Linked DNA regions of Nothobranchius furzeri. The protein of the gene in region 1 interacts with the protein of each later gene in a biochemical or structural test. Links are inferred from orthologs where the notes say so. Each region holds a gene or a part of one and is shown on either strand. Other genes may lie near its edges. The genes, in order: htr2aa and arf6b.

What was found.
Region 2: the proteins of htr2aa (region 1) and arf6b form a complex in vitro, tested with the Homo sapiens proteins (2 studies listed by BioGRID). The link is inferred for Nothobranchius furzeri from reciprocal best matches to the Homo sapiens genes HTR2A and ARF6.

The regions. Positions count from the first base shown.
Region 1 is NC_091754.1:35,558,397-35,562,664, reverse strand, and holds the start of htr2aa (5-hydroxytryptamine receptor 2A), read left to right. Parts: upstream 1-1,237; 5' UTR 1,238-2,527; coding exon 2,528-2,942; intron 2,943-4,268. UniProt on the Homo sapiens protein: G-protein coupled receptor for 5-hydroxytryptamine (serotonin).
Region 2 is NC_091758.1:32,007,217-32,011,315, forward strand, and holds arf6b (ADP-ribosylation factor 6b), read left to right. Parts: upstream 1-1,376; 5' UTR 1,377-1,498; intron 1,499-1,712; 5' UTR 1,713-2,340; coding exon 2,341-2,868; 3' UTR 2,869-3,490; downstream 3,491-4,099. UniProt on the Homo sapiens protein: GTP-binding protein involved in protein trafficking that regulates endocytic recycling and cytoskeleton remodeling. GTP-bound form plays an important role in the transport of multiple palmitoylated proteins form the Golgi to the plasma membrane.

The DNA.
Region 1 (4,268 bases):
TCGAGACGGGGACTTCCACCAGGGTAAGTAGACCGGCAAATGGCGTTGAATGTGTTTATGAATCTCCCAACCAAAGCTTAACGCAAAGACATCACCTTCAGTTCCCATGAGAACTAATCGCTTCTTCGGATTTGCTGGTTCTGAACAACATTCCACATCACCCCATTCACCGTCACATCCACCTTAGTTACACCATACATGTAGTGTTTAAAGTTAGTCTAGTTTTCATTGTAAGTAATAAAATTCTTAACTTTTAAACTCGACTCTCTCCTCTGTATTCTCTGAGTGAATACGAAGCTGTTATCTAATCTCTGCATTAAAAAGTTTCAATCTTCTGGTTAAAAATAACCTCACAGATCCGTAAGGTGGATTTCATATTTCCTATGGAATTCTACGCCTTATGGCTTATTAAATAACATGTCATTTAAATCATTACATTATAAACCACAATAACACCCTGCGGCTGAGATTTTAACCTATCAACGAGTGCCCTTTGAAGGGTTAACTGAAATCTCTCAACAATCAGAAACGTCTCCTTCTGTTCCTGGAGGGAAAACTCGGAATGCTGAGCTGTTTCTGGGACTGGATCCATGTCCAGACACCACTGCACATTTACAACAAAGAAGAGACAAACCTTCTTACCCTGAATGCAACTTAAATGTCATGAAAAGATTAGAAACATGAGTGATTCACAGAACAAACCCACTTAGTAGCTCAGTAGGTAGAGTGGGTTGTCCAGCAGGTTCCATCCCAGCTCCCACCTGAGAATGCTGCTGTTGTGTCCTTGGGCAAGACACTTAACCTGCTGGTGGAGTTTGGAGGGACCGGTGGCACCTGTGTACGACCGTCCCACTTCTGTCAGTGCGCCCCAGGGCAGCTGTGGCTACGTTGTAGCTCATCATCACCAGCATGTGAATGTGTGTGTGATGGATGATTGTATTGTGAAGCACCTTGGGGGTTGTAGAACCCTAAGAAGGTGCTACACGAATACAGGCCATTTACCATTTTAGTTCCCACAGCTGGCTTGGACGGAAGACTGGGATAAGTTTCCTTCTAAAGTGACGTTTAGTCACCAGTCAGCTTTGAGAGAAACCTTAAACAGTCTCACCAGGGACCACTGCTTGCTTAAAACATGCAAATGCTCAAGTCTCTTGCCTCATTGGGGCAGCTGAGTCGTCTTCATCTCATTTCATGACTAAAAGGGATTTTTTTACTAGAATTTCAAGAGTCAGGATTTACAAACAGCTTTAGTCATTGTGTATTTAGATCTGATAATCCCAGTGAAGCCTTCAGATCTAAATTTGAACGGAGCGATGAGATTTACAGAATGAGAGCGAGAGCAAGAGAGACTTGACAGAAAGAGAGAGAGAGAGAGCCAGCCAATACGATAGAAGGGAGAGAGACCTTGAGTAGAAACAGAGTGAGAGAGAGCAGGAGATCCCCACAGAGAGGAAGAGAGGCTGCCTGTGAAAAGCAGCGTGACGAGAGGCAAAGCGGAGAAGCTTCAGCTCCTGGTCACCGCTAAAGACGACTAACAAGCTGACACTTGTGAAGAACTGGAAACCTCTTCAGTCTGCTGATCGGTCCCAGAGAAGAGAGGGCTCTTCTCTCGTTCCTCATTCCTGTTTTTCTTTGATTTTTGAAAAGTCAAGACCTGGAGGTACACACCATGTGAAAGAATGACAGAACACTCGGATCTTTGGAAGACTCGGCTGAAGAGTGGCTGACATTTTCCACCACAGACTGAATGTCAGCAGGAGGAAGACAAACTAGAACATGTATCACCTCTGGAGGGTTTGGTCCACAGGAAGTGTGTGAGGGGACAAAGGATGGCAACGTTAGTGACACATGGACAAACGTGTGTCAAGTTTGATCACGCTCGCCATCCATCACCGTCATCCTCACACACACTCACAGGTGTCGACATAAGTTGATATGAGAGGGTAAGGACGCCCCAGAGTTCACCTGCTCGTCTAACAGCACACACCTCGGACCTACACCTGTAAAGGCATTACTGAAGTATACTTTATCAGGACTTCTGTAACGCAAACATGTAAAGAAATCACCTCACCGGGAAGCTGCTGGAAGCGGGATCTGGATTCCTGACCTTTCACATGGACATCATTGTTTTACCATGGGTGACGGTTTGAAAAGCCCAGACTTCCAGGATCAGGAAACCGTGACTGACATCTTTCAGCTCTCAAACAAATCCCAGAATCAGAAGAGTCGTTTCTTTTCTTGCAGACGTCAGTCACGATCAGATCAACATTTGGATATTTTTTTAGTAACCGGAGCACTTTTCTATCTGTATTATTATCCTTATAATTCTTCCTATTCTAGTTTTCCTTTGGAGAATCATCTGCTGATCACACGAGACATTTGAGGCGCTGGATTAAATGACAGACATGTTGTACGCCTCTGGAATATTTGTTTTATTTTTCTGGAAAAAAGAATCTAAAATGAGAATTTCCTTTCCTCCCTCCTACTGGTGAATCTGGCAGACATCCCGAGGTTGTGAGCCGACACCATGAACTTACGTGGAGCTAACGTGTCAGAGCTGATCTTCAACACCATCAGGACCGTTACCACCTCGGAGTCTAACCCCAGGCCTTCAAATCGACCCGGTAATGCAACAAACTCTGGATGTCACGAGAGCGACGTGGCCCACGCTGTCGTTAACACTCAGTCACACAGCAGCCTGGGAGGACACTTCGGGCCTCAGTGTGCTGGCTTCGAGCCGCCGGTGGAGAAGAACTGGGCGGCCCTGCTGATCCTGGCCGTCGTTGCCGTCACGGTCATGGGAAATATCCTGGTGATCCTGGCCGTTTCTCTAGAGAAAAAGCTGCAAAATGCAACTAACTATTTTCTGATGTCACTGGCAGTGGCTGATATGCTCCTAGGCATCTTGGTCATGCCCGTTTCCATGGTGACCATTCTCTATGGTAAGTGCCACTTGCATTGGGTTTCCTTTGGTTAAAATTTGGTGTGTTGCTTGTTGGGCGGTTCCAACGGACTTCCCACTGTTTTTGATTGATTGTTTGGAGGTAAACAAAGTTCCTGCATGTTGAGGGCTTTCCTCACTCCCCAGTCTAACAGTGTATTTTCTGTTTACATCACTGGGTCTGTGTTTATCTCTGTGGTGAAGCCTAACCTCCGTCCGAACAGTCGAGTCAGAATGCATGCATGACGGCGGTGGTGGAGGACAGATGGGGAGCAGCAGTGATGGAGGTGGCCAGTCCTGTTGTTGACTGTTTGTGTGGCATGCTGCTTTACTGGAAAAAGAAAATGGCAAAGCCTATCATTACTCAGATGGGATTGCAACAGAAAGAGTTTCCATTAGTCCCCTGCAGGTTCTGCTCTTGTGAACACCCGCTCTCCTCCCCATCATCTCAAAGACCTCTGTAAGTAGGACCCTCAGCGCAAATGAGAGTGTTCAGCTTCCATGTTTGCCCTGAAACCATGCATATATGTCTATGTGTCTGTAAGAAATGTAATAACATCCGAGATGTGACACAGATTCTCTGCATTAATAACACATGTTTCTACTTTGAAAGAGCACACACAGCTTTCTAAGAGTCACGCAGCACATGCTCACATCGACTAGTGTGACTGAAAGGGAGGCAGGCTCTGCTCTACTCTGCACTTTACTGTTGTGTAACACTTGCTGCTACAACAGGTAATTACTTATTTATAAACAACCAAAGGATATTTGCATCATATGTTTTGCTGTATCTTCGTGTTTAAATGGTTATATGAACCCAAGGGTTGTTTGCGCACGCTTGTGTAAAGAAAAGCACTGATTTGACCAAGAGCTCACAGAGATGTGACATGGATTTGGAATTGTTCCAGCCTGGTTCTACAAAGAGGAAATCCCACCTGCAACTGGAACAGTTTCAACACCAGGAGAGCCTCTGATCCTTCTTCAGGACTAGCCTTGTACTGCCTCAGCCCTTTGGCTTCAAATCATTTGGAGCAAGATTATATCAGGAGGAAAAGGAAGCACAGGTTTTCTCAGCGCTGTGTCGACAGATCTGAAGTCTGACTCCCTGAAACTGAAGGTGTGTTGTAGAAGGAAGTCAAGTGTTCTTATATGTTTCTCACCAAGACATAAAGAATGGGTGAGTAATGAGAGACAAAAGGTCTTCTGGTCTTGAAACATGTTTGCAGCCTACAACGTCTAAAAAGAAACATAATTTTAACCTGTTGATGAAAGTGAAAACCTCATGTGAGACACACAGTAAAAGAAAAACATGATTACTGTTTTTTTT
Region 2 (4,099 bases), on another chromosome or scaffold:
CCTGATAGTCCAAGCTTTCTTGTGTTCTGTAAACTTATTTTAGGGATTTTACAATTAAAATTGTTACAAAATAATTTTCAGATGAAAAAAATCGCAAATGTATAAATGGCTTTTTAAACTTTCAATTGTAAAATTGGTTAATACTTCCAGATAATTTGAATCAATGTTTCCTGGTCTAAGTGAAAAATGTGCATACATCAAAAATGTTTCATGTGGGTAAGGTTTTCAGCTGTATAGGACAACAAGTGCGTCTTTCCCATTTTTTGTCAAAGGAATCCATGTCTGAATTAGTGTTTTTTTTATTCTTGTGATAATTCGTTTTTTTTATTAGAATAAAAAAAATTATTTTGCTTATTCAAGATTATTTTTCGTGTTGTGTTTTGGAGTTCAATCTGTAGATAATACACATCTGTTCCATTTGATTTAAAGGTGTTTATAAAAACCTCAGTAGATTATTACAAAACCAGGTTCAGTCCAAGAGCCAACACCATCTTTGTAAATTTTCTTTGTCACAGCTCTGGCGCTAAGCCCGCACAACAAACATAGAGTGTTGTGATTGACAAGATACAAAAGTGTTCGGGCCAGTGGTAGACCTGCTGAGGCTACAATGGAGTGTTTCTATACTAACCTGGAATCAAATTATTTTTGCTGCTTCTTTGGTTGGTCTAGATTTTGAGGTTAAGAGAACTGAGCTGTGGGAATGAAGGTAATGACAAACTTTGTCCTAAGAATATGTTCATTTTGAGTAATATTGTTATTGCAATCAAAAATGTGAATTAGACGAGGAAGAAATAACTAGTTGTCTAGTTGTCTTACCATACATGAAGTTTTCCATGAAGATATAACTTTTCCAAATTAAAACATTTAGCAATAGAAAACAAATTGTCTACCATTTTTCTACCATCTAATAAATTCTTTACATTTATTTTTAATACAGTTTGAATTAGACAATAAAGGGCAAATAAAAAAATACGTATATTTGTAAATATCTGAAATGTAAGTTGATTTAATTATAGCCTCACAATTGTTGCTCTTGGTTTAATTTGCTCGAGAGCTAATGAATATAATACAAACGACCTAAGATGGCATCCAACATCTATTGACTGTGAATTCGTGGAAAACATTTTTTTAATTACTGAACTAGAATAAATTACGTTTTGGTTCCTGTCTAACCAATAAATGTTTAACGAAAGCCAAAGCAAAGAAAATAATTGATTGCTATATAACATTTTCCCACTCGCAGTTGAGAATTTATTTATTTGTTTATTTGTTTGTTTTGCTGACAGGTGAAGATGAAAGCAAGTTAAAATGTGTGCAGTTTGATTATGTTATACAACGGCCTGCCAAAAGACGGAACCAGTTTAATGGAGCAGACGAGAGGAAGTGGCTGTTGATGCAGTTCCACACCTTTCCGGTGTAGCAGGAGTGCGGCCAGCTCCAGTTAAAGAAGGAAGACAAGAGCTGAGTAAATTTATCGAGTCTGGAGGGAAATAAACGGGTAAATACCGTACCTTTGCACAAACCAGTATGAAATATGCAACTGTATACTGGGCAATGTGTCACCGATGCGTGTTTTGATGTTTTCATTTCAGTAGTTTACTGCAGCTAACTGGCTATCGCTAGTTAGCTTAGCTAATGCTAGCTGACTAACAGCCACGAGCGATAGCTGGCTAATTTTTCATGTCTGACCCTCCCCCTAAATCTCTTTTCAGTGCGACCAGAGTTTCCTGAGTGGGCCTTTTCTAACCGAGTCACTGGGATTTGTTTCTACCGTAATCGTCCCTTTGAGCGCGGTGTGACCGCCCGTCGCGACCTCCTTTGAAGAAGCCGCATATAGCGGCAGTTTCTCCCCAGGCAGCAGTGTACTGAACAAGGGCGCACCCGGTGAGGAGAACCGCCTCATACAACTAACACCAGGAGAAAATCACCTTCAGCATCGCGGCTTTTTTGGAGGGCCTCTTAACACACGCTGAATATCTCTGTCCCACGGCCAGTGTTTGTCCCAAATAACTTTATTTTTGTTTAGTTTTAAAGACAATGACTAGCCTGCAACTGCTGCTGCCAAGTTCCTAGTCCCACTGTGTCATGCTGTTTGTAGGCTCACGCAGAGGTTTGATCATCTGAACTTTAATGTTTTTGCGCTCAAAAGGATCCTGACAGGCTTCCCGGAAAACTATAGTAATCCTTTTTAGGTTTGAATATGTGTTTTTGATTTTTGGCCCAAATATCCCTTTTTTTTTATTCACGCTTTCACCAATACTGAAATCAAACACCTACAAATACATTATCAGACTTTTTTTTTCCCCTTTGGAACAAAATATTTATGCCCAAGAGTTCAAAATGGGGAAAATGCTCTCAAAGATCTTTGGCAACAAGGAGATGAGAATATTGATGCTTGGACTGGATGCTGCTGGGAAAACAACAATCCTTTACAAACTGAAACTGGGACAGTCTGTGACCACAATCCCTACAGTTGGCTTCAATGTGGAAACAGTCACTTACAAAAACGTCAAGTTCAATGTCTGGGATGTCGGAGGCCAGGACAAGATCCGTCCGCTGTGGCGACACTACTACACAGGCACCCAGGGCTTAATTTTTGTAGTGGATTGCGCAGACAGGGATCGCATAGACGAAGCGAGACAAGAACTTCACCGCATCATTAACGACCGGGAGATGAGAGATGCCATCATCTTGATATTTGCCAATAAGCAAGACCTTCCAGACGCCATGAAGCCACATGAAATCCAAGAGAAGCTGGGTTTGACCCGCATCAGAGATCGGAATTGGTACGTTCAGCCCTCCTGTGCAACCACGGGCGATGGACTGTATGAGGGGCTGACGTGGCTAACCTCAAATTACAAATCTTAATGAGTGCTGACTGTTTTAGGTCAAAGCATCCAAAAAAAGTAACAATTTCTCAAAAAATGTGTACGGTTAAGAAAAATTGATAATCTTCATTTATTTTGTTTATCCCTTGACTAATTTATCTTTAGCTGGGTTTGCTGGCTTAAAGTTTGCTTGTGTTCTGCAGCAGGCCTGAATTACAGTTATTAATGGGGCTTGCTTGAATATTGAAACAATTGGTCCTAAGGTTTAAAGCTATAGAGATCACCACATTTGCCTATTTTCTTCCTGTTTTATATAGTTTATATTATTCTAAGTTTTTAATCTTCATTTTCTGAAGCTGTTATGTCTTTGTTCAAGTCGGATCACTTATTTTTCTTCAACAGTCAGCGCTTTAATGTCGTGTAGCCTACTCGAAGGACTTGGGAAGTTTTGTTAACAGTACTGTGGCAAAAAACAGGAGGGGGTGAAATCTGGAGAGAAAAAAACGACTTTTCAGTCATTAGTCATCAAAGAAAAAACACGTTTTGTTACCCCCTCTGAACTTTTTAAGTGGGCTATCCAGTTAACTGATTGACCATTTTGTGTCATGTCTTGATATCTAATTGTGCTGAGTATTAAACAAATAGGCCACCAGTAACAGAAACATGCTTGTGGAAGTGCATTTTTTAAATGAGGGTAGTTGGCTCAATCTTTCCAAAGGAATGTCATTCAGCTCTGAAATCGCAACCTGATCTCACGGTTGGTTAGTCTCAGTGATTGGGACATTATATGATAGCCTATATCTGTAGCATGAGTACATCAAGTACATTAACCCTACCTACATCAGAGTCCATCTGTCGGTGCAGTCAGGGAGAGCCGTTATCTGGTGAGGTCGACACTCTGGGGTGCAGCGCTTACTCCTGTTTTGACTGGGGAACTGTACACAGAACAATGTCATTGTAATGTATTATTAAAAAAACAATTTTAAATAATTAATGTCTGTTTTATTGTATTTCATCAGGAATTAAAGATGAATCCACTTTAGCTTGTAGCTGATAAATCAGTTTTTAGTCAACTTTTGAGTCTAAAAGCTGGCCTCAGCTCCTTTTGCCAGTGGACGGGGAAAATGTCCCAAACAGGAAGTCCAGCCTCGGCCTTGTCTTGGAGCAAAGCCACATGTCGACTGAAAGGGCAGCGCTGAAAAACAGCTGATGGGGACTGGATTTGAATGCTGCATGTTGGTTTTGAGCCATATCGATGCTAGCAGGAAGTT